Elephas maximus indicus: one gene and its partners. Each later gene encodes a partner of the first gene's protein in a complex. Links are inferred from orthologs where the notes say so. Each region holds a gene or a part of one and is shown in the gene's direction. Other genes may lie near its edges.

Region 1 (7,245 bases):
CACTAACTGTTCTCCCCTCTCTAAAGCCCCTCTGCTCTCTAATCCATTCTTCATCCTGTTGCCAGGTTTACCTTCCCCAAAACACAGAAGAGCTGACTGGAGACACTACTTGCAGAAATTGTTTATTCAGCAAATACGTATTGAGCCCTTACTATGTGTCAGGCTCTGTGTTTGTGTTTTGGGAATATACAAATGAATAAGATATCCTCACCCTTCTAGGAGCTCATAGCTAAGCAGGGATGATACAAGCAAATAATAAAACACAGCGTAATAAGTTATAGAGCATAAATATGGAGATACTGCAAAGTGTGTGAACACAGAAGAGGAAGTAACTAAATTTACCAGGATGGGGGGGCGGGGGAATTAAGGGAAGGCTCAGCTGGAGGGGTGCTATTTTAGAGGAATCATAAAGAATGAGTGGAATTTTACCAGACAGAAAAGGGGCAGGACATCAGGCAGAAGAAAAGAGCATTTGACTTGGAGTCTCAGGACATCTGGATTATAGTTTTCTTTTCATAGCTATTATTTGAGCAAATAATTTATCCCCTTGGGACTTACTTAAAAATAAGAAGCTTGTATTGACACCCTCTAAAGTCTCTTTTAGCCCTAATGTTCAAGGGTGTATTAGTTTCCTAGGGCTGCCTTAACAAATGACCACAAAGTGGGTGGCTTACAGCAACAGAAATTTATTCTCCAACAGCTCTGGAGACCAGAAGTCCAAAATCGAGGTGCAGGCAGGGTTGGTTCCTTCTGAAGGCTTTGATGGAGAATTCATTCCAGCCTTTCTGTAGGTTTTGGTGGCTGCCAGCAATTCTCGGCCTCCATTGTCACGTCACCTTCTCCTCTGTGCCTCCTTTCCCCTTCTCTTCTCTTATAAGGTCACTTGCCATTGGATTTAGGGCCTACTCCAATCCAGGATGATCTCGTCTTGAGATCCTTACTTCAATTACATCTACAAAGATCCTTTTTTTTCCAAATAAGATCACATTCGCAGGTTCCTGGTGGACATATCTTTTGAGGGCCGCCATTCAACCCACTACAGAGGGCATTCTCCAACTTAAAAGTCTTCAAAAGCTACCCATGGCCTTCAGGGTAAAGTCCAAATTCCAATCATCACATCCAGCCATATTGGACATGTCATAGGCATTTACTCTCTGACTGGAATTGTTGCTGTTGCTGTTGTTGTTGTCACTGCCTTTGAGTTGGCCCCTGAGTCATGGTGACCCCATGCACAACAGAACAAAATGCTGCCTGGCCCTGTGCCATCCCTATGATTGGTTGCAGATCTGACTATTGTGGTCCATAGGGTTTTCATTGGCTGATTTTTGGAAGTAGACTGCCAGACCTTTCTTCTTTCTTAGTCTGGAAGCTCTGCTGAAACCTGTTCAGCATCATAGCAACAGGCAAGCCACCACTCACAAATGGGTGATGGATGCGTACGAAGTGCATTGGCTGTGAATTGAACCCAAGTCTCCCACATGGAAGGTGAGAATTCTACCACTGAACCACCACTGCTCCCATCTGACTGGGATTAGCCTCTCCCTAATTTTCTGTGTAATTGGCTACCTAAAGGTTAGTAGTTCGAACCCACCCAGCAGCTCCATGGAAGAAAGGCCCGGCAAACTGCTTCTGTAAAGATTATAGCTAAGAAAATCCTATGGAGCAGTTCTAACTTTCTAACACATGGGGTTGCCATGAGTTGGAAATCGACTTGACGGCAACAAGTTGTTTTTTTGTTTTACTTTTCTGTGGGAGTCCCTGGGAGGTGCAGACCTTTAACGCACTTAGCTTCTAATGGAAAGATTGGAGGTTTGGATCCACCCAGGCGCACCTCAGAAGAAAGACCTGGCAATCTACTTCCAAAAAATCAGCCGTTGAAAACCTTATGGAGCACAGTTCTACTCTGGCACCCATGGGGTCACCATGAGTTAGAATGGACTCAATGGCAACTGATAATTCTCTGTGGATTCAAATCCTTCAGGGTAAACTTAAATGTTACCTCCTCCAACATGTTTTCCTCTCCCCAATCAGAATTATTCTTCCTACCCTCTAAACCCACTGCCATCGAGTCGATTCCAACTCACAGCGACCCTATAGGACAGAGTAGAACTGCCTTTCGTACTTTTATTATAGCACTCTAGCTATCTCATCTCTAAGAGGTGATACCCTACTAAAAGAATATCGATTCTGGAGTCAAGAAGGGATTCTAGTTCTTCCTCTGTTACTCACTGGTTGTTAGGTGCCATCGAGTCGGTTCTGACTAATAACGACCCTATGTACAACAGGACGAAACTGCCCAGTCCTGAGCCATCCTCACAATCATTGCTATGTTTGAGCCCATTGTTGCAGCCACTGTGTCAATCCATCCCCTTGAGGGTCTTCCTCTTTTTCACTGACCCTCTGCTGACCCTGGTGGTGTAGTGGTTAAGAGCTGTGGCATACCTTTCCAGATTTTGAACCACTTAGTATCCCCGTGTTCTGTCCGAACAACTGCCTCTTGATCTATGTGCAGGTTCCTCATGAGCACAATGAAGTGTTCTGGAATTCCCATTCTTCGCAATGTTATCCATAATTTGTTATGATCCACACAGTTGAATGCCTTTGCATAGTCAATAAAACACAAATAAACATCTTTCTGGTATTCTCTGCTTTCAGGCAAGATCCATCTGACATCAGCAATGATACTCCTTGTTCCACGTCCTCTTCTGAATCCAGCTTGAATTTCTGGCAGCTCCCTGTTGATGCACTGCTGCAACTGCTTCCGGATTATCTTCAGCAAAACTTTACTTGCGTGTGATATTAATGATATTGTTTGACGATTTCCCCATTCTGTTGAATCATCTTTCTTTGGAATGGGCACAAATACGGATCTCTTCCAGTCAGTTGGCCAGGCAGCTATCCTCCAAATGTCTATGAATAGACAAGTGAACGCTTCCAGCGTTGCATCCGTTTGTTGAAACATCTCAACTGGTATTCAGTCAATTTCTAGAGCCTTGTTTTTCACCAATGTTTTCAGTGCAGTTTGGACTTTGATCATATGCTACCTCCTGAAATGGTTGAACATCGATAAGTTCTTTTTGGTACAGTAACTCTGTATTAGCTGTATAATATTGGGCAAGTAAATCAGCTTCCTTACCTGTAAATGGGGACAATAATAATCCCTAACTCATGGGGTTGTTTGTGGATTAAATGAGATAATGTTTGAAATTCATCTAACATTTAATAGGTGCCTCTCACTTTTTTTTTTTTTCTCGCTAGAGCGATGGTTCTTAACCTGGGATTCATGGCCACTTAGGGAATACATAGATGAGCTTTGGGGATCTAAAAATATTCCTGGAAAATATCTGACATTTTGTATGTCCATATGTGCATTTTTCTGGGAAGAAGGCCCATAGCTTTCATCAGCATCTTGAAGGGCTTGTGAATCAAAAAAGATTAAGAACCTCAACACTAGACCATATGAAGGCTTCTCCAGGTTAGAGAAGGAGCCCTGGTGGCGCAGCGGTTAAAGCCATGAGTGCAAACCGAAAGATTCAAAAAAAAAAAAAAAACCTGTTGCTGTTGAATCGGTTCTGACTCACAGCAACCCTACAGGACAGAGTGGAACTGCCCCGCGGGGTTTCCAAGGAGCGGCTGGTGGATTACCAACTGCCGACCTTTTGGTTAGCAGCTGTAGCTCTTAACCACTGTCACCGGGGCTCCTAACTGAAAGCCTGGCGGTTCCAAACCATCAGCGGCTCCGCGGGCGAAAGATGTGACAGTTTGCTTCCTTAAATATTTACAGCCTTGGAAACCCTGAGGGGGTCCCTATGAATGAGAATCTATTCAACCGCAGTGGGTTTTTTTCTTTTTAGAGGATAGAGACAGCCTTTCAGGGCTTGATAGGTGCTTTCTTATGCATACATAGTTTTTAGTCTTCTCAACAGTCCTTTGAAGAACATAACAGTATGCTCACTTTTCAGTTGCAGAAACGAAGAAGTAGCTTGTAGAAGGCAGTTTCGAATCACTGCGAATAATTATTGAGAAGCTTTTCTAGGCCAAGAACTGAGGTAGGCGCTGGGAACCCAATTTCAGTCACAGCTCAGAACCCTGGTTCAGCACCACGGCTGCCTCCGCCTTTGGAAGTTTGTATCTCCAGCACAGTACTTGGCTCAAGAGCGTTTCACAGACTTTTTTTGCTGGGTGAAATAGATTTTCCGCCGCTCGGTAGGAAAAGCTTTCTGGGCACGGAGCTCCACCCCACGCTGGGCCGGCCCCGCCCCCACTGCAGTCGGTATTGTCGGACGGTTCCCGGTGTCCCTCGGGTTCACTCGGTAGTTTCCGGCAGTGATCGAGAGTTTGTAACGTTCCCCCTCGTTGTCTCTCGGCCGCGTCCCCCCAACTGCCGCCCCCCTTTTCGGCTCCCTCTCCCCCTTTTCCCCCGCCTGAGCCTATCCCTGCTGGCGCTTCTGGCGCTACGGGCTGGGCAAAATGGCGGCCTTCGGGATCTTGAGCTACGAACACCGGCCCCTGAAGCGGCCGCGGCTGGGGCCTCCCGATGTGTACCCTCAAGATCCCAAACAGAAGGAGGTGCGTTCATTAATCGGGGCTCTTGCGGGACTAGGGACAAGCGATCAGCACAGGAGGAGGCATTGACGGCTTGGGGGAGGGGGCGAGGCGATTAGGTGGGAGCAAAGTCCCGAAAGGGGGAAGAGTAAAGTGGGGCGGTGTGGGAGAGTAGGACCTAGCTATGGGGGCTTCTGGCTATAAATAGGGAATGATGTAGGGGCCACACCAGAGGCATCCCCCCACACGTATACACATACGCTTCAGAAAGTTGTCTGACGGTAGCTTGGTGAGGTAAGGCTGTTCTCTAGGGAAGAGTGATGTTGAGGGAGTACTGGGTGGTTGGGAATCTTAGTGACTGAGGAGGTGAGGGTGGGGTCCAAATGAGTAAAAGAGCCTAGCCTTAAATAACAATCTATTTTACTCAGAATCATCCTTCTACCCTTTTTCCTTGTACCTTCCCTCCCCTTGCCCTCCTCTTTCACCCTTCCTACGCCCAGGGGGGGAAAAAAAGCTAAAATGTCATTTTCCTGCCTTAGGATGAACTGACGGCTTTGAATGTAAAGCAAGGTTTCAATAACCAGCCTGCTGTCTCTGGGGATGAACATGGCAGTGCCAAGAACGTCAACTTCAATCCTGCCAAGGTGAGGCAACCCTGCCAGACTGAAGGGAAAAGGCTGGAAGAATCTGAGAAGGAGCAAAAGCCCTGGGTTGGGAAGACTTAAAGAGACAATCTAAATGGCTGAGTTTTCCATTGTAACCTAATGCCACAACAATGGTATTTGTATATCAAAGGCACAACCAACCACCTATCTGCCCCTTCTTCCCACCCTGAGGTATAGTTTTCTTCCCTCAGATCAGTTCCAACTTCAGCAGCATTATTGCAGAGAAGTTACGTTGTAACACCCTCCCTGACACTGGTCGCAGGAAGCCCCAAGTGAACCAGAAGGACAACTTCTGGCTGGTGACCGCACGATCCCAGAGTGCCATTAACACCTGGTTCACGGACCTGGCTGGCACCAAGCCACTCACACAACTAGCCAAAAAGGTGAGATACTCTTTCCTGTTCTTCGGGCCAAGGGGGGAGTGTGGATACCAAGTATGCTGCTATTCCCATATTAAGCTACATCGATACCAGCTCATGGGGTAATAGAAACCTCACTATTTGTTATGTCCATCCAGGTCCCGATTTTCAGTAAGAAGGAAGAAGTCTTTGGGTACTTAGCCAAATACACAGTGCCTGTGATGCGAGCCGCCTGGCTTATTAAGATGACCTGTGCCTACTATGCAGCAATCACTGAGACCAAGGTTAAGAAGAGACATGTCATTGACCCCTTCATGGGTGAGTAACTCCTAACACCAGGTGTATCACTGACCCTTTCTAAGAATGATAAATCCTTGGAATTATTCTCTTTCCTAAACTATATTCCATTCTTCCGCTTGTATCTTGCATTCACTCAATTAGTAAACATTGAGTATCTTGAGTATAAGTAATATGCACGTACTGGGCTATAACGATGACTAGTACATAATTCCTGCCCTTCGCGTGCTTATTGTCTAGTAGGGATGTTAAGGCACATGTACAAATAACATAATTAAAATATAGAAAGTAGCAAATGTTAAAAGAGGAGGCAGAAAATTCTTTGAGACTTCAGTCAGCAAAAAGTTTACTTTCTTTGGTGGACAACTGGGAAGGCTTTAGGAAGGTGGCATTTGACTCTAGCCTAAGAAGTTGAATAGGATTTATAAGTATGTGATTGGGGGTGGGGGTAGGGGACAGAAGAAATTCTACACAGAGGGACAGTATAAAATAGCCTCTTCTATCTTTCCTCTAGAGTGGACACAGATCATCACCAAGTACCTATGGGAGCAGCTGCAGAAGATGGCTGAGTACTACCGGCCAGGGCCTGCAGGAAGTGGCAGCTGTGCTTCCACTATCGGGCCTTTGCCCCATGATGTGGAGGTGGCAATCCGGCAGTGGGATTACAACGAGAAGCTAGCCATGTTCATGTTTCAGGTAGGGAGTAGGGCATGTAGTGTGTGGGGCATCGAACTGAGCCTTACCTTGCTTTGCTCTCTGCCAGTATAGAACAGAATCAGCCAACCACCTTGCTCCTGTTGTGGTTTCTTTCATCCTTTCATTTGCTTTTTTTTTTATAATTTTTATTGTGCTTTAAGTGAAAGTTTACAAATCAAGTCAGTCTCTCACACAAAAACCCATCTACACCTTGCTACACACTTTTTTTTTTAATGAGACAGCCCACTCTCTCCCTCCACTCTCTCTTTTCGTGTCCATTTCACCAGCTTCTAACCCCCTCCGCCCTCTCATCTCCCCTCCAGGCAGGAGATGCCAACATAGTCTCAAGTGTCCACCAGATCCAAGAAGCTCACTCCTCACCAGCATCCCTCTCCAACCCATCGTCCAGTCCAGTCCCTGTCTGAAGAGTTGGCTTCGGGAATGGTCATTTACTTTTCCTGCCTCATCTCTAATAGTCCCTAGACTGAACTAATACTCTTCCCACCCCGGTACCTATAGGATGGAATGCTGGACAGGCATGAGTTCCTGACCTGGGTACTTGAGTGTTTTGAGAAAATCCGCCCGGGAGAGGATGAGTTGCTTAAACTGCTGCTGCCTCTGCTGCTTCGGGTAAGGCACTAGGACTTGGAGGGGGTTATAGGGGGGACTTGAAGGATAAACTT
Region 2 (7,087 bases), on another chromosome or scaffold:
TAAAATGATGCTCGTGAAGAGAGTGCTTCTTAGCTCAAGTATTACATGAGACTAAATGGGCAGCTACTGTCCAGAGGGGAGATGAGAAGGCAGAAGGGGATGGGAGCTGGTTGAATGGACACAGGAAATCCGAGGTTGAAGGGAGGAGTGTGCTGTCACATTATACGGAGAGCAACTAGGGTCATATAACAATGCGTGTATAAATTTTTGCTTGAGAAACTAACCTGAACTGTAAACTTTCACTTAAAGGACAATAAAATACATCCATCTATATCTATCTATATCTATATCTATATCTATATCTATATCTATATCTATATCTATATCTATATCTATATCTATATCTATATCTATATCTATATCTATATCTATATCTATATCTATATCTATATCTATATCTATATCTATATCTATATCTATATCTATATCTATATCTATATCTATATCTATATCTATATCTATATCTATATCTATATCTATATCTATGCCATTATTCCCTGTCTTTACGCATAAGAATATGACCCAACTGGAGCTGGATTCATGAGGGTCCACAATCAATTGGGCCCTGAGGTATAAAGACAACACTGAGGACAATCTTGGAAAACATCTTGTAGAGAACTTTTCAAATAACCTCATAAAACAGAGCACAAAAACACTTTCCACTCTTATCTTTTTCTATTAACATTTAGTGAATAGTAAGATTTGTTAGACCAGTGAGGATCCTCCTGACTGCCCTTACTGAAACCTGTGCCAAAGATTACTAAGAAAGACAATTTGAAATGTAGAATCACAGTGACTTAGCAGTTTTTAGCCCAGTCCTACACCATTCTCACAATGGTTCTTATGCTTGAGCCCATTGTTGGCAGCCACTGTCAATCCATCTCATCGAGGATCTTCCTCTTCTTTGCTTACCCTCTACTTTACTAAGCATGCTGTCCTTCAGGGACTGATCCCTCCTGATAACATGTCCAAAGTATGTGCCATGGATTGAATTGTGTCCCCCAAAAATATGTGTATCAATTTGGCTAGGCCATGATTCCCAGTATTGTGTGATTGTCCATCATTTTGTCATCTGATGTGACTTTCCTATGTGTTGCAGATCCTAATCTCTGCCTGTGGTTAATGAGGCAAGATTAGATTATGTTAAGGAGGATTAGGGTAGGATATAACACCCTTGCTCAGGTCACATCCCTGATGCAATGTAAGTTGAGATTCCCTGGGATGTGGACTGCACCACCTTTTATCTTACAAGAAATAAAAGGAGAGGGAAGTGAGCAGAGAGGGGAACCTTGTATCACCAAGAACGCAGCATCGGAGGCAGAGTGCATTCTTTGGACCAGTGGTTCCTGTGCAAAGAAGCTCCTGGACCAGGAGAAGACTGATGACAAGGACCTTCCTCCAGAGCTGACAGAGACAGAAAGCCTTCCTCTGGAGGTAGCACCCTGAATTTGGTCTACTAGCCTCATAGACTGTGAGAGAATAAATTTCTCTTTGTTAAAGCCATCCACTTGTGGTATTTCTGTTATAGCAGCATTATATAACTAAGACAGTATGTGAGACATAATCTCGCCATCCTGGCTTTTAAGGAGCATTCTGGCTGTACTTCTTCTAAGACAGATTTGTTCATTCTTTTGGCAGCCCATGATATATTCAATTTTCTTTGCCAACACCATAATTCAGAGGTGTCAATTCTTCTTTGGTCTTCCTTATGTATTGTCCAACTTTTGCATGCATATGAGGCAATTAAAAACACCATGGCTTGGGTCAGGTGGACTTTAGTCTTCAAGGTGACATCTTTGCTTTTTAACGCTTTAAAGAGGTCTTTTGCCCAGGTTTGCCCAATGCAATGTATCGTGTGATTTCTTGACTGATGCTTCCATAGGTGTTGATTGTGGATCCAAGTAAAATGAAATCCTTGGCAACTTGAATATGTTCTCCATTTATCATGATGTTGCTTATTAGTCCTTGTCTTAGTTATCTAGTACTGTTATAAGAGATATACCACAAGTGGATGGCTTTTACAAAAAGAAATTTATTTCTTCACAGTAAAGTAGGCTAAAAGTCCAAATTCAGGGCTTCAGCTCCAGGCGACGGCTTTGTCTCTCCGTTGGCCTTCTCATCAATCTTGCCCCAGACAAGGACCTTCTCCGAGCAGGGACCCCAGGTCCAAAGGATGTGCTCTGCTCCCGGCACTGCTTTCTTGGTGATGTGAGGTCCCCCGCCCCTGCTCGCTTCCCTTTCCTTTTTGTCTCTTGAGAAATAAAAGGTGGTGCAGGCCACACCCCAGGGAAACTCCCTTTACATTGGATCAGGGATGTGACTTGGGTAAGGGTGTTGCAATCCCACCCTAACCCTCTTTAACATAAAATTACAATCACAAAATGGAAGACAACCACACAATACTGGGAATCATGGCCTAACCAAGTTGGCACATATTTTGGGGGGACACAATTTAATCCATGACAGTCCTATTGTCAGAATTTCAGTTTTCTTTATGTTGAGGTGTAATCCATACTAAACGCTGTGGTCTTTGATCTTCATCAGTAAGGGCTTTAAGTCCTCTTTACTTTCAGCAAACACGGTTGTGTCATCTGTGTAATGCAGATTGTTAATGAGTCTTCCTCCAATTCTGATGCCCCTTTCTTCTTCATATAGTCCAGGTTCTCAGATTATTTGCTCAGTTTACAGGTCGACTAAGTATGGAGAAAAGATATAACTCTGACACTCACCTTTCCTGACTTTTAAACCATTCGGTATCCCCTTGTTTTGTTCAAACTACTGCCTCTGGGTGTATGTACAGGTTCTACATGAGCACAATTAAGTGCTCTGGAGCTCCCATTCTTTGCAATGTTCTCCATAATTTGTTACAATCCATACAGTCGAATGCCTTTGCATAGTCAATAAAACACAAGTAAATATCTTTCTGATATTCTCTACTTTCAGTCATGATCTGCCTGACGTCAGCAATGATATCCTTAGTTCCATGTCCTCTTCTGAATCTGTCTTGAATTCCCTGGCAGTTTCCTGTGGATGTGCTGCTTCAGCCACTTTTGAATGCTCTTCAGCAAAATTTTACTTGTATGATAAATGGAAACCCTGGTGGTGTAGTAGTTGAGTTTGGCTGCTAACCAAAAGGTTGGCATTTCGAATCCACCAGGTGCTCCTTGGAAAGTCTCTGGGGCAGCTCTAATCTGTACTATAGGGTTGCTATGACTCAGAATCAACTCGACAGCAATGGGTTTTTTACGGGTGAAATTAACGCTGTTGTTTGATAATTTCTGCATTCTGTTGGATCATCTTTCTTTGAAATCGGCATAAATATGGATCTCTCCCAGTAAGTTGGCCAGGTAGCGGTCTTCCAAATTTCTTGGCTTAGACAAGTGAGCACTTCCAGTTCTCCATCCATTTGTTGAAACATCTCAGTTGGTATTCTGTCCATTCCTGGAGGCTTGTTTTTCACCAATGCCTTCAGTGCAACTTGGATCTCTTCCTTCATACCATAGGTTCCTGATTATATGCTACCTCCCGATATCGTTTAAAGTCAACCAATTCTTTCTGGTATAGTGTTATTAGTACTTAAAAAATGGTAAATATTTTTATTATTAGATGACTATACCTAAAAAGGTAGATTTTATTCTTTGATGGTTCGAATTAAAATTCAGTAGTGATGCATTCATATGTCCTTTTTGTCTGGCACTCTGCTAGGCCACCTCGGTCACCATACTTAAAAAGTCATGGTACCTGTGAAGAGAAGTGTTGTTTCACCTCAGGGCTCTAGGCTGCACCAGAAGGCCAGGTGCTCACAGAAAGCTGGTTGGTCCAGGCCGTGGCAGAAGTTGTTTTCTGCAGGCTGCAGCCCCTAGGCTCTATACCTTCTCCCCAGTCTAAGAGTTTTAGGAAGCAACTCCTATTCCAGCCAGAGGGTGGCGGCCTGCAGCCGACAACGCTTCTGGGTGTCTTGGGCTTGAGTATCCGCTTGAGGGCGCGCTCGCGAGCAGCCCTTCTGCACAAGCGGAACTATCTGGCGGGCCTCCTGGTTTGGGGGGGGTTCTGTAATCGGCGCGTACCCACCTCTCCGGGCTTCCGTGCAGCCTCCAGTTGTGTGCGGGGCCCTGGAGAAGACGTTTCCGGCTCGGTGCTTGGAGAGGAAAGTGACGCGGGTGAGAGCCGCGGTTTTTTCCGGGCGTCTCCGCCCCTTTGGCCCTCCGTTCCCGAGGCTCGGGCCAGACCCCGGCCGCGCTGGGACCCACAGGAAGGTGGGGCGATGGTGCAGATGGAGACACAACTGCAGAGCATTTTTGAGGAGGTGGTGGTGAGTGGAACTAGTCGGGGTCCCGGGCGATGCAGCGGGAGAGGCGGGGGCAGCGGATCAATTAGGTCGGCCTGGGCAGCCGCCTCCTCCGTCCTCGTTGCGACGCGGTGTGAGTGTGCAGGCGTTGGTGGTTCTCAGGCTGGTGTCACGCTCAGGGTCGCCTTTGAAATCCCCAGCTCTCTGGTGACAGGCGGCGGGTGCCGGTAGTTTCTGCACGTTGCCCATTGAGATGCTTGTACTGTGTCGTTAGGGGTACCACCCCCCTCCGTTTTTTATTTGTTTACGTGTGTCTTTTTTTTTTTTAATTGTTTTACAGAAAACGGAAATTATAGAAGAGGCGTTCCCTGGGTGAGTATAATGCATGGCAGATTTTTATGTTTTTACGTGAGGGTGTCTTTGTAAGACAGGTTTTTCTTGGGTTCTGTAAAATCGACTGTTCTAGTTATGATGGATTGACTTTTTAAAGCTAGTGGCAAATAATATAATTTTGGGTTTTTTGTTTGTTTAGCATGTTTATGGATACCCCTGAAGATGAAAAAACAAAACTTATAAGCTGTTTGGGGGCCTTCAGACAGTTTTGGGCTGGTCTTTCTCAGGTGAGCACTGCATTTTTAATATATTCAGCTGATGATTTGGGGGTTCCCTCCCCCGTTTTATTTTTTACATTTACTTTGATGGTATTGTTAAGTTTTTTTCTGGAAAAGGAGAGATCAAATCGTTATATTTTTTCTCTTATTTGTCTCTTTTGGTTTCCATTTGTTTTAATTTGTGTACTTCCCAGTGGAAATCTGTATTGAGAAGTCATGATGATAGCACAGTGTGGGATGTCTTTATGATGCTTTTTAAAAAGTTCCTATGTTAGATTATGTAAGACGTTTTCATCCTATTCTGATTTATTTGGTGACTTGCAAACAGCTGTGTTAGGCATTGTAAAGAATATAACTTTCACTCATTTATGGATAAGAGGAACTGGCACAGTATTGAAACAAAGACTATCATGAAGATACAATAATCCTATAGTAAAGATACAAAGATACCACAATATAGATACAAAGAAATTATAATAGGGATACATGCATAGTATAATAAAAAATGGGCAGAAGAGCAGTAAAACTTAGTTAACAATCACCAGAAAATGTATCCATGAAAAAGACAAAATGTTTGATACTTAAAGAGGTCATGTTGGAGTAGTGCATTACAGGTAGGGAGATGAGAACTGTTTGCAGTTGAGCTGCTGCTGGTAAAACATGCCACTCAGACATAGATCACGCAGTGGCCGTACATTAACTTTTTGTTTGTTTTAATTGTCTTCTTATAGATAATACAAGCATGTGGTTCAAAATACAAAGGAGTAGATCCAAAGAATAGTTTCTTCGCATCTCTTTTAGATTGATCCCCTGTTCTTTTTCCTGTCTGCAGTCATTGTCCCCAGTTTAATAATTTATGAATATAGAATCATTTTATAGGGTGGTCATATACTGTGCACACTGCTAATTACCAGCTTGGCTTCCCCCTTTAATGATAAATTAATGTTTATTATTAATAGATATTTAATAATATTCATTGTTATTAACAAATAACTTTTAATAATGACAGTAAATTCTCTTTTTGCCAAGGCTTAATATTCCATTGTATGTCTGCACCTTTATTTAACTGGTCTCCTACAGACTGACATTTAGGTTGCTTCTTTCTTTTTCCACTTTAAACAATGCTAGAATGAATGATAGTATGCACAGGACATAGGATAAATTTCTGGAAGTGGTATTGCTGGCTTAAAGGTTATGTCTGTTTATAATTTTTATGGAAATTGCCAAATACCAGTTTCTACCTGGTTAACAATGTCTGAGGAGCCCTGATGATGCAGTGGTTAAGTGCTCGGCTGCTAACTAGAAGGCCTGGCAGTTCGAACTTACCAGCCACTCTGAGGTAGAAAGATGTGGCACTCTGCTTCTGTGAAGATTACAGCCTTGGAAACCCTATGGGGCAGTTCTACTCTATCCTATAGGGTCAGTATGAGTTGGAGTGGACTTGACAGCAACAAGTTTAGCAATGCACGAGAGCCCTCAGCCCAGCAATTCAGTAGAGACAAATTCTGAGAACCACTAGTAGAGCAGTAATTCTTAAAATGTATCATATGTAAGAATCACTGGGAATCTTGTTAAGAACGTAAGTTCTTATTCAGTATATCTGGAGTGGAAATAACAAATTCACAGAAGGGGTTTAAACCAGAATGAACCATTTTGAAGCCCTGAAGTGCAGTTAATAATAACTGCCTTCAGCAGTTATTAAAACTATTTGGACAATGTACAGCACAACTTGATCAAGACAAGGTCACAGAAGCTTCACAGACAAATGCAAACTCCTTGAGGGACTGAACTGTGGGGCCACGAGCTGGGGACCACAGTCTTGGGGGATATCTGGCTCAACCGGCGTTATATAGTTTATAAAGAAAATGTTCTACATCCTGCTTTGGTGAGTAGCATCTAGGATTGTGAAAACTTGTGAGCAGCCGTCTAAGATACTCCGCTGGTTCCACCCCATCTGGAGCAGGGGAGAATGAAGAAAACCAAAGATACAAGGTAAAGATTAGTCTAAAGGACTGATATATCCAACTACCACAGCCTCCACCAGACTAAGTCCAGCACAACTAGATGGTGCCAGGCTACCACCTCTGATCTCTCTGACAGGGATCACAATAGAGGGTTCTAGGCAGTGCGGGAAAAAAATGTAGAACAAAAATCAAATTCACAAAAAAAAGACCAGACTTACGGGTCT
Region 3 (7,914 bases), on another chromosome or scaffold:
TAACAACAACAACATAATAATTAATATTTTAAAAGACTCTTTGCCAAAATAAGTTCCATTAATTTTTATAAGGTGAAATTTTAAAGAGATTATGCCATTTTTTCTTCTCAGCATATTAAATGTCTTTGAACAGAAGAAGTTTTGAACAAGAGAATATATAAAAAGCATAAGTATGCTTACTGATTTCTAGTCACTTACAAATAAGTTTAATGCTTGAGAAATGGAGCAAATAAAATCAATGCAATTTGGTGTCATAGAAATGTCTAGTTGAGCATCTCAGTAACACTAGTAGTAATTTTTGGGTCTTCCAGAGCAAGTAGGATTTCAAATACAGTTTGTCAGAGAGGCCAGAATTTATACCAGATGGGCCATTTCCCTCTTTCCTGGAACACCCTGTGCTTATAGCCTCACATGTTCTTTGTTGTACTCCTTCTTCTTTCTCCTTATATGCCAATTAAGATGTTCTTGGCTGCGGGTAACACAAATGCCAACTCAAAGTTGTTTAAACAATAAAGGGATGTATAATTTCACCCAACAAAAAATCTACAGGCAGGTGCTCCAGGATTGATTAATTCAGTGGCTGCACAATGTTGTCACCAAGAATCAAATTTTGCCCTGTCTTCCAGTTCTATCATACTCAGTCTGACTGTCTTGTCCTCCTGGTCATAAGATATGTGCACACCATAGTTATCACAAACAGCAGAGGTTCTCTAGCACTATTGACATTTTAGGTCAGTAATTCTTTGTAGTAGGAGACTGTTCTGTACATTATAGGATTTTTAACAGCATTTCTGGCCTCTACTTGCTACTTGCCAGTAGCACTACCCCAAATGTAACAAGCAAAAATATCCAGACATTGCTAAATGTCTCCCGGTGGGGGAGGGTAAAATCACCCTAGTTAATAACCACTGGCAAACAGACACATTAACAGTATAGTAGATGAGGGACTAATTTTTTTGTCAAAGGCTTTAGATATAAGACCAAGAAAGACCTTGTCTGAAGCTCTAAGCAGACTTCCCCTCTGTTGCATTGGCCAGACTTGCTACACGTTGTGATTGTTAAGGTTGTGTGTCAACTTGGCTGGACCATGATTCTCAGTGGTTTGGCAGTTATAACAGTCTGGCAGTTGTATAATAAATGTAATCACCTCCATGATGAGATCTGATATAACGTGATTGCCTCCATGATGGGATCTGTTGTGAGTAGCCAATCAGTTGAATGGGTGTTTCCTTGGGTGTGTGGCCTGCAACCAATATAGGTGGACTTTCTAGCAAGATTTGTGGGCTTTTGCTCCCTCTGGATCCTGCAGCTGGCTCCTGTTCATTGACACATAAAATTAACCATCACACTGTATTAAACTAAACAAGAGTTCATATTGCAATCTCTGACTTTATTACCACAGAATTCATTCTGGTCTTTGATTTTTTGTAACTTCTTTCTCTGGCAGTGAAAGACTTGGCTCCCATTATCTACCATCAATTTACTTTTTTTGTTCAACCCCACTATACATGTAAAGCAGGTTCAGAAAACAAATTTACAAACTACAATACAGTATTTATGTGCAGTTTTTTTTTTCTCTTTAGCTTCACAGTCTTTGATTAAAAACAATTTTAAATCAAATTGTTTATACAAAAGGAATCCCCCCTCCGAAAGACCCTGTACTATAGGGGAAGTCCTGTTCTCTTACTACCCTTAACTCACCCCTTTAGGGTTATCCATTTAATGACTTGATGCATATATTTCCACATTTTTCCCCTTGCTCATATACAAGCATATATTATGTGCATGTGTATGTCTGTGTCTGCATTTGTGTTCTATAGAAGACATTTGGTCTGAGGGTAGAGTATGGGAACTAGAATGTTTTAGAAGCAGGTAACTCTAAAATACAGCTAAGATTAAGGACTACTGCTCTAAGCCAATTGTGGTAGTTTTCATCAGGGCTACCTGTAGGTATGCGTGGCCCCGGACAATTTTTTTTTTTTTTGTGAGACATCTAACTATATAAAAAACAAGCAGATGAAAGAAATTAAGAAAATAATGATGTAGAGTAAGGATGACAGTTCATGATGTAGAGAAAAGCATACAAACGAATGTTACAACAATCAGAATCTACGAAGTAGACAGAAAATACACAGAATAGAGGGATAGCATAGGCCAGCTGGGAACAGGAAAACAGAGGAAACACACAGAGAAAAGTTGGCTTTGGTTCTTGACAGTTTTCTAATTACAATTCTCCTGTCAATCCATGAGTCTTTTCACAATGAACTATAAATTTCCAGAGGTAACTTTAGCAAGTCTCTATTACTTGCACCAAAAGAATTATAATATATAGTTATGAAATAAGTATGACTAAGAAGAAGGAAAGGAGTTGGCCAACGTGCCAGGGATAAAGAATACAATGGAAGAAGTTAGAAGTGTATTCAGTCCATAGCCAGGTGATAAAATCCATTCTGAGTTTCTGTTTGAAGAGAAAAGTGTATCAAGGTCAGATATCACCTGGAGAAGGCCACTGAGACAAGTGGACTTCCCCAGAACCACTCATTCAAGAAGACTCAGAAACCTGAGCTGCCAGCTTCCAAAAGAAAAAACCCAAACCCATTGCCATCGAATTTACTCTGACTCATAGTGACCCTAAAGGACAGAGTAGAACTGCCCCGTTGAGTTTCCAAGGAGCACCTGGTAGATCTGAACTGCCGACTTTCGGTTAGCAGCCATTGCCCTTAACCACTTCGCCACAAAGCGAAATTATCTCTAAGGTGTGGACGCACATTAGTCAAGCTCACAGAAACTCATATATCAAAAGTCCAATATCAATTTATTGATTTATAAGGATAATAACTACCAAATGGATCAGATCCTTTTGTTCACTCCTCAGAGTATTTTCTGTCTACAGGCAAATTCCTGTGGAAAGACAAATTATTATCGGAAGGTTGCTTGGTAAGCATGGAATTAGATCAATGGGAGTTAGTGCCTTCAAGCTATAACAACCTGATGCAACTCAATTCAACCTACACTTACCAAGTACCCTCAGATGTAATTTCCCCTGAAGCTAATACTTTCTAAGCTTTAGGCCCCTGTAAGTGATGGGAGCTGCTGGACAATTGGTTGTCTGAAAAGGGAAGGAGAGCAGGGTTGCAAACAGGAAGCATTTTTATGTAACATTCCTGAAAAATTGCCTAAAGAGTTTACAGCAGACAGGGACCTTGTTGTAGTTTCCTAGTGCTGCTGGAACACAAATACCATGACTGGATAGCTTTAAAGAAGAAAAATTTATTTTCTTGAGTTCTGGAGGCTAAAAATCCAAATTAGGGTCTCAGCCATGCAGATTCCTTCCTTGTAGCCCTGGGCATTACTTGTTTCTTGGTAATCCTCAGAGGCATCTGTCTTCCCCTGTCCTTGTTTCTGTGTTTAATCGGCTCTTTTTATAATTCAAAAGTGATTAGGTTCGGCTACAACAGATGACTGCCCTGACAGGGAACACAACAGAGAATCCCTGATGGAGCGGGAGAGCAGTGGGTTGCAGACCTCAAATTCTCGTAAAAAGACCAGACAGACTTATTGGTCTAACTAGACCAGAAGGACCCCGGAGGTCATGGTCCCCAGGCCTTCTGTTAGCCCAAGACTGGTACCATTTCCAAACCCAACTCTTCAGACAGGGCTTGGACCGGACTGTAAGATAGAAAATGATACTGGTGAGGAGTGAGCTTCTTGGCTCAAGTAGACACATGAGACTATGTGGGCAATTCCCGTCTGGAGGGGAGATGAGAAGGCAGAGGGGGACAGAAGCTGGCTGAATGGACACGGGGAATAAAGGGTGGAGAGGAGTGTGCTGTCTCATTAGGGGAAGAGCAAGTAGGAGTACATAGCAAGGTATATATAAGTTTTTGTATGAGAGACTGACTTGATTTGTATACTTTCACTTAAAGCACAATAAAAATTTTTTGGAAAAGTGATTAGGTTTAGGACGTTGATATGGCCTCATTAATATAACATTAGATTGCATTATGGAAAGTAATTATATTACATTATATCTACAGGTATAGGGATTAGGATTCCAACACATATTTTAGGGGGACACAAATCAATCCATAACAGACCTGAATCTCTAAGGCTTTACTTTTTGTTGTTTACCATCCAGTTGATTCTGACTTGATAGCGACTTATAGGACAGAGAAGAACTGACTTCATAGAGTTTCCTAGGCTGTAATCTGTAAGGGAGCAGATTGATAGCCCTTTTCTCCCTCAGAGCTGGGTGGGTTCAAACCACCGACCTTTCAAAACTTGTTATAATTTCTTTTTGTATTGTAAACATTTACTTTTTAAACCTAATTTTGCATTAATAATGTTATATTCTTTTTCTTGGAAACCCTGGTGGTGTATTGGTTAAGTGCTCCGGCTGCTAACCAAGAGATCGGCAGTTCAAATCTGCCAGGCGCTCCTTGGAAACTCTATAGGGCAGCTCTACTCTGTTCTGTAAGTTTGCTATGAGTCGGAATCGATTCGACGGCAACGGGTTTGGGTTTTTTTGGTTTTTACTATGTATATTCTCAACAACAAAATAATTTTTTTTTTAAAAAAAAAGGACATGTTAGGCTTGGTGCCAGTAGATGTCGGTAAGTCTGTGAGGCCAAAATAATTTTTCTTTTCAATAGCCGAAGAAATAAGATAAATCAAAAAACCTAATGGTCTATTACAATACCATTATGCTGTCTCAAAGGCCTTGAAGATGCAATAACAAAACCCAGTACTGCGATCCTCCCGTCAGGCTAACTCCACTAAACGTAGCCAGTTTTGATGACTGAACACCAAACCATCCAGCTCCAGGAGAAACAGGCGCGAAGCTCTCGCGAGACTCTACCAATACCCAGGAGCTCCCGTGAGCACCAGTTCCCGTCTCCTAACCTAGCGCGCTTACAGGCCGTCTCCTCCCCGCCGGCTTCTTCCGCTACCGCGGGGCGGGCCGGAACCTTTGTTAAAGGGAACGAGTTTACACAGCAGTGTTGCCGGCCGGCATCAAGGAGAACAGCGTGGCATCCTCTTCCTCTCGCCGTTGCGGCCGCGGAGCGGAGCTGAGCTGATTATAGTCGAGGAGCTCGGTTACCGGGCGGGCTGGGTCTATGGTCGCTCCGCGGGCCGCTCCGCCTGCTGGTGCTTTTTTATCAGGGCAAGCTGTGTTCCATGGCAGGGAACTTTTGGCAGAGCTCCCACTAGTAAGTGATCTCCCGTCTTCCGTCCAGGGCCGGCACTTAGGGGTCTGTAAGGACGGGGCCTGCAGCTCCCCTTGGCCTGCATCCTGGTCCCTGTCCCGAGCGCCTCGGGGTCCTCCCGGGAGTCGGCGGCGGCCGGCAGCCGGCAGCGGGATGCGCTGTTTTGAGATGACTCCCCTTTTCCTGCCCCCCTAGCCCGGTTTCGGGGAAGGATCTGTGACCCGGAGTGGTGGGGACAGGGCAGTCTCCGAGAAAGGGAGGTTGAGGAGTTTAATTTAGGATTGTTGGATTAGCTAGGCCCGGGATGGGGAGGGGGTTGGGTGATGGCTCCGGGTGTGGGAAGTGTGTCTCAGTTGTGGACTGTGAGGTGGGCTCCTCAGGATGGCTGTGGCTCGATTTTGCCTGGGATTACTTTAGAGGATCGGCACCTGGTCTTTTGTCATTCACCGTCTATCTTGAATGTATTTAATAATGTTCCGAGGAGGAGGGGGAACTCCGTGTTTCTTCTCACTAACCACTTCCTGCCACTACCTTATGCCCAGATGGAGTTTTATGTTGGTAGGTGATACAGCAGGTGCTTGCAAGACTTAGCCATTTCATTATTCTGTGCCTTGTATTTTGTTTTGTAAGTGTTTTCCAGTGATTTTGTTTGCTAGTTTACAATTTTTCGTAAATAAGTTTTTGTTTCTGTCAGTGATCGTGGAAGAGCTAGAGTTATATTAAAAACATTTTTCCCTAAGTGCATTTGTTTAAGCAGGCAAGAAGGTGGGTGATGGGGCTAATTAAACATTGACTAGACTTTTCACTGGAAAGTTGAAATAGGAACAGAACGTGATAAGACTGTACTTAGTGTAAGTAATTTTTAATGGTAAGAGTGTTTGTAACTAATTTCAACTTTGATTTTATGAATAGCATCGGTTCCTTTCTTTTGTTTTTTGGCCCTTTCCCGAAGAAAAAAGGAACAGTGGCCTTGGAAACCTATTTGCAGAAAAGCAGGTCTTCCTCTTTGCTCTAAAGTAATTCTATGGTGCTGAAATGCTCTAGAAGCTTTACAAATTATACCATTTTTATTTTGTATAGTTTTTTCACTCACTGAAATAGTTGCTTGGGCAAAGTTAAAATATAGAAGGCATAGGTAGTGGAGAAGAGTATTCTTATAAACTTGGAGAGAAGCTGAGAGAACTTCAGGGAAGCTGGCAGTTGGTCGTCAGAAGTTAATGCAGTTTTTTAGCTTTTAGAAAAGAGACCCTGTCCCCCTTTTGATGAGCATTCTCATTATGCTTTCACTTACTATTGGCATTATAGAAACAGTTGTTTTTTTCACTATTGAGATATAAAGTTATTACAACATTAAGTGTGCTTTTTTGGAATTGCCCCTGCCTGCCAATTCAAATAGTCCTGAAGGAAGGGGCCACTTTACCTCACTTAACTCCCTTGATTATCATGAAGTCCTTTTTCTGTAAAAGATAACAGGTATGAAATACAAGACAATCAATTCGTGAAAAAAACAAAAAGATTATGAAAGGACATTGCTTTAGGTACGTATCAGAGATTTTGATGAAAGAGGAAACGTCATGAAAAAGATTGTATTTCATGGCTTATAAGGTGCACATTTTCACATTTTAACTTCTCAGAAATTGGCATGGCAGTTTTTTTTTCTTAGTAACACATGAAATAATGATGAGTTTTACAGCCAGTGGAATCTTAAGTTTGATGAAATGTGGTATTTATAAGTCTTGGTTTATTCTCTATACAAAATGCTGGGAGGAAATTTTTTAAAAATATTTGTTTCTGAAATTTATCTTTTTAAAAAGATAAAATGACTCTGTGGAAATGAAATTAGTGTTAATTCCAGGACAGAGCAAGTCACAATATATTCCAGAAAATTGAAGTAGCACAAAACATTCTCTGATCACAATGTGGTAAAACCAGAAAGGCATTAAATAAATATTTTCAGGTTGGTTGAATGAATGAATGAGCACGTAACAAAAATAAAAACTACAAAACCAACTCTGGATGCTTTATTGTATCAAAGAGGAAACTGAAAATACAGTTACATAATATCTAGAAAATAATATAATGAGATCAATATATATCAGTATTTATGGAATGTAGCCATGCTGAACGTAAAAAAATTAAATTATTGAATGAGAAAGAATAAAAATAAATTTTTTAAAATTCTACCTAAGAATATTAAAAAGGAAACAGTGAAACAAACCTAAGGAAAATAGAAGGAAAGACTTAATAAAAGTAAAACTTTTATTAATGTAATAAAAGGGAAAAAATTGTCAGAAAATACAAGAGCTGGTTTTTTGGGAGGGAAAACCAAGACAATAGGCTGGATAAACTACTGCTGATTGAGACAAGGAAAAAAGGGATGATGTAAAAATATAAAATTAGGAATGAGAAAGGTAAATGAACCCAGATATACCTTTGGACTATCTGTATGGCATAAATTAGAAAGCAAATTAAGAGTTATCAGAACGACTTCGTAAAAATGCTCAAGGCCCACACATTATTTCCTGCATAAATTACCCTCAACTTTCAAGAGGATCATAGCTCTGCTATTGAAATTGTTCCATTTCACACAGAAAGGAGGAAATGCTTTCCAGTTCTTTTTATGAAGCCATTATAACACTGGTGATAAAATCTAGCAAAGGAAGCACTAAAAACCTGTCTCACTTTTGAATATTGATTCAAAGACCAT
Region 4 (7,271 bases), on another chromosome or scaffold:
AAGCTTCCTATGACTTTTGAGTTTCTGTTAAAAAGAAGACCAAAGTTTTTCAAGGTAACTTTTTAATTGTCTATGGAAGTAAAACTAATGCTATCCAGAAAGAAGAAAAAAAAAAAAGATGACTCAAGGACTGGAATCCAGGTGTGGTAACTTCTCATTTGCTGCTTCGGGAGGGCCTGGATGTAAAAGCCCCCACTATATACCTGACAGGATGGCAGATGGCACAAGGCTTAATGGGCTGATGAGACAAAGTGACTAGCCCACCTCGAGTTCAGCAAAACTTACCCCCCAATTTTTTTTTTTTTTTTTTACATTTTGACAATTTTTATTGTACTTTAGATGAAGGTTTGGAGAGGAAATTAGTTTCTGATTAAATAACACACATATCACTTTGTGACATTGGTTGCCAACCCCAGGACATGTCGACACGTTCCCCTTCTCAACCTTGAGTTCCCCGTTACCAGCTTTCCTGTCCCCTCTGCCTTCTAGTCCTTGCCCATGGGGTGGTATGCCCATTAAGCCTTGTTTTGTTTTATGGGCGTCTCTAAACTCTAGCTGAAGGGCGAACCTCAGGAGTGAGTTCAGTACTGAGTTACAACGGTGTCTGAGGGCCATACTCTCAGGGTTTCTCCAGTCTCTGTCAGACCAGTAAGTCTGATCTTTTTTTGTGAGTTAGAATGTTGTACTACATTTTTTTTTCGCCCCAGCTCTGTCTAGAACCCTTTATTGTGATCCCTGTCAGAGCAGTCGATGGTAGTAGCTGGGCACCATCTAGTTTGCTGGACTCAGTCTGGCAGAGGCTGTGGTAGTTGTGGTTTAAATCTTTTAAATGAGATCAAATTTTTGACCTAGGATGCACTCAAGGTAAAATGAAAAAGTGAAGATTGCAGAAGGCATTATGGGGATACATCAAATAAAATTTGAAAGAATAAAATTCATAATTCTAGATTAAACAGCACTAGAAACATTCCTAATTATGTTAGTTGCCTCTTGAAGTGGACTAGAGACCACCTACGAATGAGTGAAGCTTTTTACCCAATCTTTGAACATTTATAATATGTACCTGTAGCACTTTTCAATTTTCCACAGAACTCTTTTAAGCCTATCAATAAATATCAGTTGAACAAATTAGGAACCTGGTAAGGTGGCCAGGATGAGTATTATATCCATCTGATAAATGTCAAAATTGAGACTCAAAAGGAATATGATTTGACCATGTTTACACCAAGTCTAGGAAGTGCCAGGAGGAGGATCAGGTCTCTCCTTAATCCTAAACTGGTATTCTTTCTTCTGCATACTTCCTATTTTTGCTGAATAAAACTCTAATAAATCTCAGGTTTTCCCAAATTTTTAAATAGAAAATCTATCCTAACTACAGCGTTTGGCCCAATAACTGGTAAGAATAGCGCTTTTGTAAAATAAACTTTGAACTCAGAAATTCCAGGTCTGTGCGGTTCGCATTATTTGCATAACCTCCTAGGACAGAGGTCAGGGAGACTCTGAACCTGAAAGTGTCAAGTCAAGTGGTGGCAATACTTTTTCTGTAAATTCCCCAAAACAGGTCAGAAAGTTTCCTTTTAGGTTGTACACATAAGAAATATTTAACTAAAGTTACAATACTCCTCCTCCACCTCTCACAAACCAATTGGTTAGTTTAGATTTCAGATTTAAAGCGTCCTTTGGAGTCTTCCTCAAAGCTTTTCTGGATAAAATTTGCCCATCATTCCCATTTTGCCATATTTATGAAGACTGTTTCTATGACTACTGTGAATGCTTTTCTTGTTCAATGACTGTCCTATCTTTCCTCCTAGTGTACACATTTTTTAACACTATCCTTTCATCTGCATTTTCAGTCGATAAAGTTTATAACTTTTCATTCTATTCTGTGACTAAAGTTTGATAAAAGTTTCTGTATTTACAAACTTTGTAAATTTAAAATTTCCCCTACGCTTGGTACAGACATTATTTTTTACTTGTATAGCCTCCAGGCGAAAGTATGGCTATATATCTGACATTAATGCTTTGGGCATAATAATTAATTAACAAAGATTTTAAAGCACCTATTTTTTATGATTATAGTGAGGTCCCTGGGTGGCACAATTTGTGCTCAACTACTAATCTAAAGGTTGGTAGTTTGAACCCACCCAGCAGTGCCATGGAAGAAAGCCCTGTCAATCTGCTTCTGTAAAGATCACAGCCAAGCAAACAACATGGAACAGTTATACTCTGTAATACACTGTGTTGCCATGAGTCAGAATGGACTCGCTGGCAATGGGTATGGTATGGGTATGATAATGGCCAACCATATTTTCAGAACTCTAAATCAAGTGAGGCCATCAAGGGTTTTCAAGGGACTGTGTTTTCATCTTTATATCACTAGCTCCTAATACATACATATTAGACCACATAGACGCTTGTTAAATGAAGAGCACTTTGACAGCAAGAAAGGATAGAGCATTTTAAATATGAACTATCTTGAAAAATTCTTTTGAATGAATGCTCTCTGTGTTCATCAGTTTTAGGGTTGGCAGATTTATACAATATTCATATTACATAATATTTGGGACATACTTTCACATTAAAAAAAATTGTTTATCTGAAATGAAAATTTAACCAGGCATCCTATATTTTATCTGACAACCCTATCAATTTATTCTAGAAATATGCATTGCATCCCTGATGTGTGTTAGGAGCTGTGCTAGGCACTCAGGAGACAGCAGTGAAGAAATGGACCCAGTGCAGTACTCCTGGAGCTGACAGTCTACCAGGGAAGACAAGGCATTCAACAAACCACACAATTAATTTTGATGGTGAGAATGCTATTAAAAGAGAACTTTGAAACAATATAAGAGTACCTGATCAGGTCAGAGAAGGCTTAAATCGAGATCTGAATAAGAAGACCCTAGGTATAGTGGGGAAGTAAGGCCTATTTGAAGCCCCTGGGGGTGAAAGGAGTGCAGGAATTTTCTGGAAATGAAAGGTCACTGTTGCTGGGGGTGGCAATGGGGTAAGAGCTGGGTCTAGCAAGGCCTTGTAGGCTCAGTAAAAGATTTTCCTATTAGATCCAAGTACAGCGCTAGGCAGTGAGGATTCAGAAATGAGGGACAATTACTCCCCCAAGAAACTCACTGTGTAGTGATTCAAAGGTATGAGGATAAGAGGACTGAACAAGAAATAAAGTTTGAACTTCATTTTCAAGAAGCATTGTTAGAGATAAATCTTTGTGGCAATAAACACATCCCCATACATTTCCAAGTATTTGTTCTTACTAAGTTTACACTGCTGTGCCTGCTCACCTGAACTGCAGTATCTGTTGGGATGGCTTTGGAAGATGTCTGAATAACATTTTTGAAAGGTGGGAAATGCCTGAGACTAGAAAGCCTGTATTAGTACACTGCTTAATATTCTTGTAGCGAACTAGGTAAGACCAACTTTTCAGTGGTAATGTTATTTTCAAAGATGTGTGTATAGAAAAAATACATTAAAAAACCTTAGTTTTAACTACTTTAAGAACTTTCCCTTAATGCTAGCCTTGTTGTATTTTAGCCTGGTTCTTCAGTTCCATTGGCCAAGACCTTCTTATCACTGTTGCAAATTTCTCTTTAAGATTTACTGTATACAAAAGGTACGACTACATATTCTTTGTGATTTAGTGTAGAGAACTAGTTAAGCCGCTTGTTTTCACTATGATTACAAAGACAGGGCAAAATCAATTGTGATCCCATTTGGGACCTTAAATATAATTAAGACCAGCAGAGACTTCGCTGCAAATAAATTTACCTTATCCCAAAATCCCTCAGATCTTCAAAAATAGTGGAATTGCTCAAGAAATATTTCTGAAATTAAAAATGTAAACAAACTAGAATATGTGAATTAAGTATGTTGGGCTGACTTCGAACACCGTGTTACAAAATGCCGATATCTTTTAACAATTATTTCATCTAGCAGTTCACAGAAAAGGTATTATCTTTAATAAAATCTGATACTAATGTTTTTCGAAGAAATAGTCTTTCAGTAAGGAAAGCCGAAGTTTATAATTTGTGAACTGTTCAACTGCCAAAGTGGAAAGAACCTCTTTACTACCGCAGCCGGAGGCTTTCCGCTCGCAAGCTCAAGGCCCCGGTACGTGAGATGTGAAAGAGTCAGGAGTGAAGGAAAGGCCGGGCCACAAGAATCTCGCGAGGAGCGTGAATTAACTATTTTTCGCGACATTTTGATGCCCTGCCCCTTCTCTCGCAGGATCCCGGTTAGTCTCGCGATCTTTGGGAAGTTCCGTTGGGGAAGATGGCGGCGGCCGCGAGCACCCTTCACTTCTTGCCGCCGGGGACTTCGGACTGAGCCTTCCCGGGAAGAGTGGGGACTACTGGTGCCCTGCGTCCCGGGAACCGGAACCAATTTGGTTCCCCCGTTGGTGGGGAAGGACTAATCCTCTTGTGTGGCAGACTCAGGCCTTCCCCACCTCGAGGATGAAGGCTCAGGGGGAAGCCGAGGGTGAGTGAGGGGGAGAGAAGAGGGCGGGACACGATTGGAGGAAGCCAACCGGTGAGAGGGGCTGAGGCCGATGCCCCATGGGCGCCACTCTCCAGAGGGCTCAGAGTCCAGGAGGCAAGATGTGTATGAGTTTTAGACTGACCGTGCTTTCTCAGGTGATGGTGAAGTTCCAACTTTGGGGTGATGGGGGCTTCCAACTTCTGTGAAGGTTTCCTGCTCTACTGGGGCAATCATTTGGGTCTCAGGGCACTTTTAGCCTAAAGTGGTGGGAAACCAGGTGAGTGAATCTAAAACTGCTTTTACCTGGTGCAAGAAGAGATGTCTGAATAGCGACATAAAACTAACAATACAGAGCTGCATGTAAAAGTACTGGAGGATGTTTTGGTGTGAGTGGGATGATTAGGATCTTATGATATTAAAAGCCAGCAGTTCCCTAGAATACCACAGTGTTCAGACCTCGTGCTATTGTATATTTTTAAAATGCTTTGAATTTCATCCTTCCAGTGGCCGGACTAACTTACAACTGCTGAAAAATAACTTTTCTGTGGAACCTTACCCAGCCCCTCTAAAGTTCCAAGCTCCAGTTTAAATTCTTCCTTAGCATTTTGGGCATAGTTCTGCTAAAACAACTCCTTGTGTTATTTTTGTTTACTTATCTTCTTCACTTTATCCTAAGCTTTGTGGATTAGGGACCCTGCCTTCCTCATCTTTATGTAGTCCCTGGCATAGAATAGCTGCTTTAAAAAATGTCGATTTGAGCATCCAAGAAAGACGGATCTTGTTTTAGAAGATCTTCTCCCTCTTGCATCAACTCTGATTGATGACATTCTATTCATTTTTCAATGCTAGCATCAACTGTTATCTTTTTTGTAACATCCCCACAACTGATCATGAACTTTTTTTCCTTTGAATTTCAGTAGTGATGTGTTTCTGTTTTTGAGAGCATATCTCACTTTGCTTTGTGTGACTGTTATTTCCACGTTAACTTATCCACATCCTTCACATATGTCATCTCAGACATTTTATATGTTTTTGCTTTTCCAGTGGTCTTTAGCACAGCTCCTTGCTCATACTGGGTAGCTTAAGAATTAGAGGAGGGTTGGAGGGCACATACTTAGTCCAAAAACCACTCTTGTCTACCTTTCTCTTAGCTCTGCTGGAGATTCATCCTCTGGTCATAGATCTTTTCCGTGTCCATGTAGTTTTAGTTTAAACTCAAATAAGAAATACCTGAATGGCTAACAGAGCCTGATTTCTTTTTTTTCATAATTTATTTTATTTTCTTGTTGTTACTGTTGTTGAGACTATATTCCGCAGAACATAGACCAATTCAACAGTTTCTACACATACAGTTCAGTGACATTGATTGCATTCTTTGAGTTGTGCAACCATTCTCACCCTCCTTTTTTGAGTTATTCCTCTGCCCTTAACATAAGCTTACTGCCCCTAAGTTTCCTACCTAATTTTTCAGGTTGCTGTTGTCAGTTTGATCCCATATAGATAGATCTTCAAACAAACAAACAAACCCAAAAGAGCCTGTTTTTTTGATCCCGTTGCTGTTGAGTTGATTCCGATTCATAGCGACTCTATAGGACAGAGTAGAATTGCTCATAGGGTTTCCAAGACTGTAAATCTTTATGGATGCAGACTGCCGCACATCTTTCTCCCTCGGGCTGGCTGGTGGATTTGAACCTCTGACCTTCCAGTTAGCAGCTGCGTGCTTAACCATTGCACCACCAGGGCTCCTTTGTTTTTTTGATAGCACCTACAAATTGATCTCTCAAAATTATGTCAAAATATTTAGGAAGTCAGTGTTTTCACATTGAATACCAATTAGCCATAGTAAGGCCATGTTCAAATGTATGCTCTACATCTGTCATGCAAGGGGTTTCGTGCATATCATGAAATGACTTTGTCACTGAATTGTAGCTTAATCCTGAATCGTGATTAGAGATGGACCTTCTTTTGATTACTCTTAAATGTTTAAATAGAAAACAGCCCTGCTGTATGGTATTCCTTAGGTCAGACCCATAATTTGTGTCTTCCCACCATTAAAAATACTTTGTATGTTTTGAAGTAAATAATAATGAAAAATATTTCAACTGAGTTTTTGCTGGGGTGAAGTTGGAGTTTTCTTTTGCAAGAAAAACTGTGGAAGGGCCTGGTAAAAGAGTTTCTAATTATTCTTTCTGATTTATGTCATAGAGTCAGAAAAGCTGAATAAGATGAGTTCTCTCTTGGAACGACTCCATGCAAAATTTAACCAAAATAGACCTTGGAGTGAAACCATTAAGCTTGTGCGTCAAGTCATGGTGAGGATTGTGGTAAAGTGGTATGCTTAAATAATTATTTAATAAGCTGACATCTTTATGTGGGCTTGTTCAAACTATAGTCCTTATAGTGTGTCTTCAGTTTTATTTATCATCAAACACTGAGTACATGGTGGCTGTCAACATTAGGAATCTTCCTGAGAAGGAGGTGTATTTATAAAATTGTGTTAATCGTGAGTACACTGGGGTATTTCAGGCAAAAGTGCTAAGTAATGCACCTATAAGGGGCACATTTGATGGACTGGTATAAGGAGATTTTATTCTTCACTTCCCATGAAGTTCCCTTATACTGATCTTATAGTACTTTTGATGTGTCTGCATTGCTAGTAGAGGTTGTGATTTCATTACTAATAACAGGCAAACCCTGGGCTTTCGCTTGTCTACTCTTTCAAACTCTTTCTCTGCAATACTGCTACTTCTTCCCCTGATCATTCACCAATATGAGGAGCC

The links.
Region 2: MED12 (region 1) and MED23 share a complex: the UniProt entries of both Homo sapiens proteins name them as parts of the mediator complex. The link is inferred for Elephas maximus indicus from reciprocal best matches to the Homo sapiens genes MED12 and MED23.
Region 3: the proteins of MED12 (region 1) and CCNC are in contact, whole or in part, in a cryo-EM structure (PDB 8TQC), measured with the Homo sapiens proteins. The link is inferred for Elephas maximus indicus from reciprocal best matches to the Homo sapiens genes MED12 and CCNC. Residues at the interface, in NP_005111.2 of Homo sapiens: Ile6, Leu7, Ser8, Tyr9, Glu10, Pro13, Leu14, Lys15, Arg18, Leu19, Pro22, Asp23, Val24, Tyr25, Asn47, Pro49, Ala50, Val51, Asp54, Glu55, His56, Gly57, Ser58, Ala59, Lys60, Phe64, Pro66, Ile69, Asn72, Phe73; in NP_005181.2 of Homo sapiens: Gly3, Asn4, Phe5, Trp6, Gln7, Tyr11, Ile15, Asp17, Gln19, Asp20, Lys23, Gln49, Glu53, Leu57, Arg58, Gln59, Ile62, Tyr153, Arg157, Pro158, Gln161, Tyr162, Asp165, Leu173, Pro174, Trp177, Arg178, Ile179, Asn181, Asp182.
Region 4: MED12 (region 1) and MED1 share a complex: the UniProt entries of both Homo sapiens proteins name them as parts of the mediator complex. The link is inferred for Elephas maximus indicus from reciprocal best matches to the Homo sapiens genes MED12 and MED1.

What each region holds. Positions count from the first base shown.
Region 1 is NC_064846.1:98,567,411-98,574,655, reverse strand, and holds the start of MED12 (mediator of RNA polymerase II transcription subunit 12), read left to right. Parts: upstream 1-4,240; 5' UTR 4,241-4,470; coding exon 4,471-4,569; intron 4,570-5,084; coding exon 5,085-5,189; intron 5,190-5,401; coding exon 5,402-5,593; intron 5,594-5,727; coding exon 5,728-5,887; intron 5,888-6,380; coding exon 6,381-6,562; intron 6,563-7,081; coding exon 7,082-7,192; intron 7,193-7,245. UniProt on the Homo sapiens protein: Component of the Mediator complex, a coactivator involved in the regulated transcription of nearly all RNA polymerase II-dependent genes.
Region 2 is NC_064819.1:200,455,548-200,462,634, reverse strand, and holds the start of MED23 (mediator of RNA polymerase II transcription subunit 23), read left to right. Parts: upstream 1-4,085; 5' UTR 4,086-4,264; coding exon 4,265-4,312; intron 4,313-4,628; coding exon 4,629-4,660; intron 4,661-4,820; coding exon 4,821-4,908; intron 4,909-7,087. UniProt on the Homo sapiens protein: Required for transcriptional activation subsequent to the assembly of the pre-initiation complex. Component of the Mediator complex, a coactivator involved in the regulated transcription of nearly all RNA polymerase II-dependent genes.
Region 3 is NC_064819.1:164,409,151-164,417,064, reverse strand, and holds the start of CCNC (cyclin-C), read left to right. Parts: upstream 1-4,903; 5' UTR 4,904-5,178; coding exon 5,179-5,210; intron 5,211-7,914. UniProt on the Homo sapiens protein: Component of the Mediator complex, a coactivator involved in regulated gene transcription of nearly all RNA polymerase II-dependent genes.
Region 4 is NC_064837.1:46,799,747-46,807,017, reverse strand, and holds the start of MED1 (mediator of RNA polymerase II transcription subunit 1), read left to right. Parts: upstream 1-4,253; 5' UTR 4,254-4,466; coding exon 4,467-4,491; intron 4,492-6,696; coding exon 6,697-6,803; exon of another isoform or gene 6,804-6,823; intron 6,824-6,832; exon of another isoform or gene 6,833-7,271. UniProt on the Homo sapiens protein: Component of the Mediator complex, a coactivator involved in the regulated transcription of nearly all RNA polymerase II-dependent genes.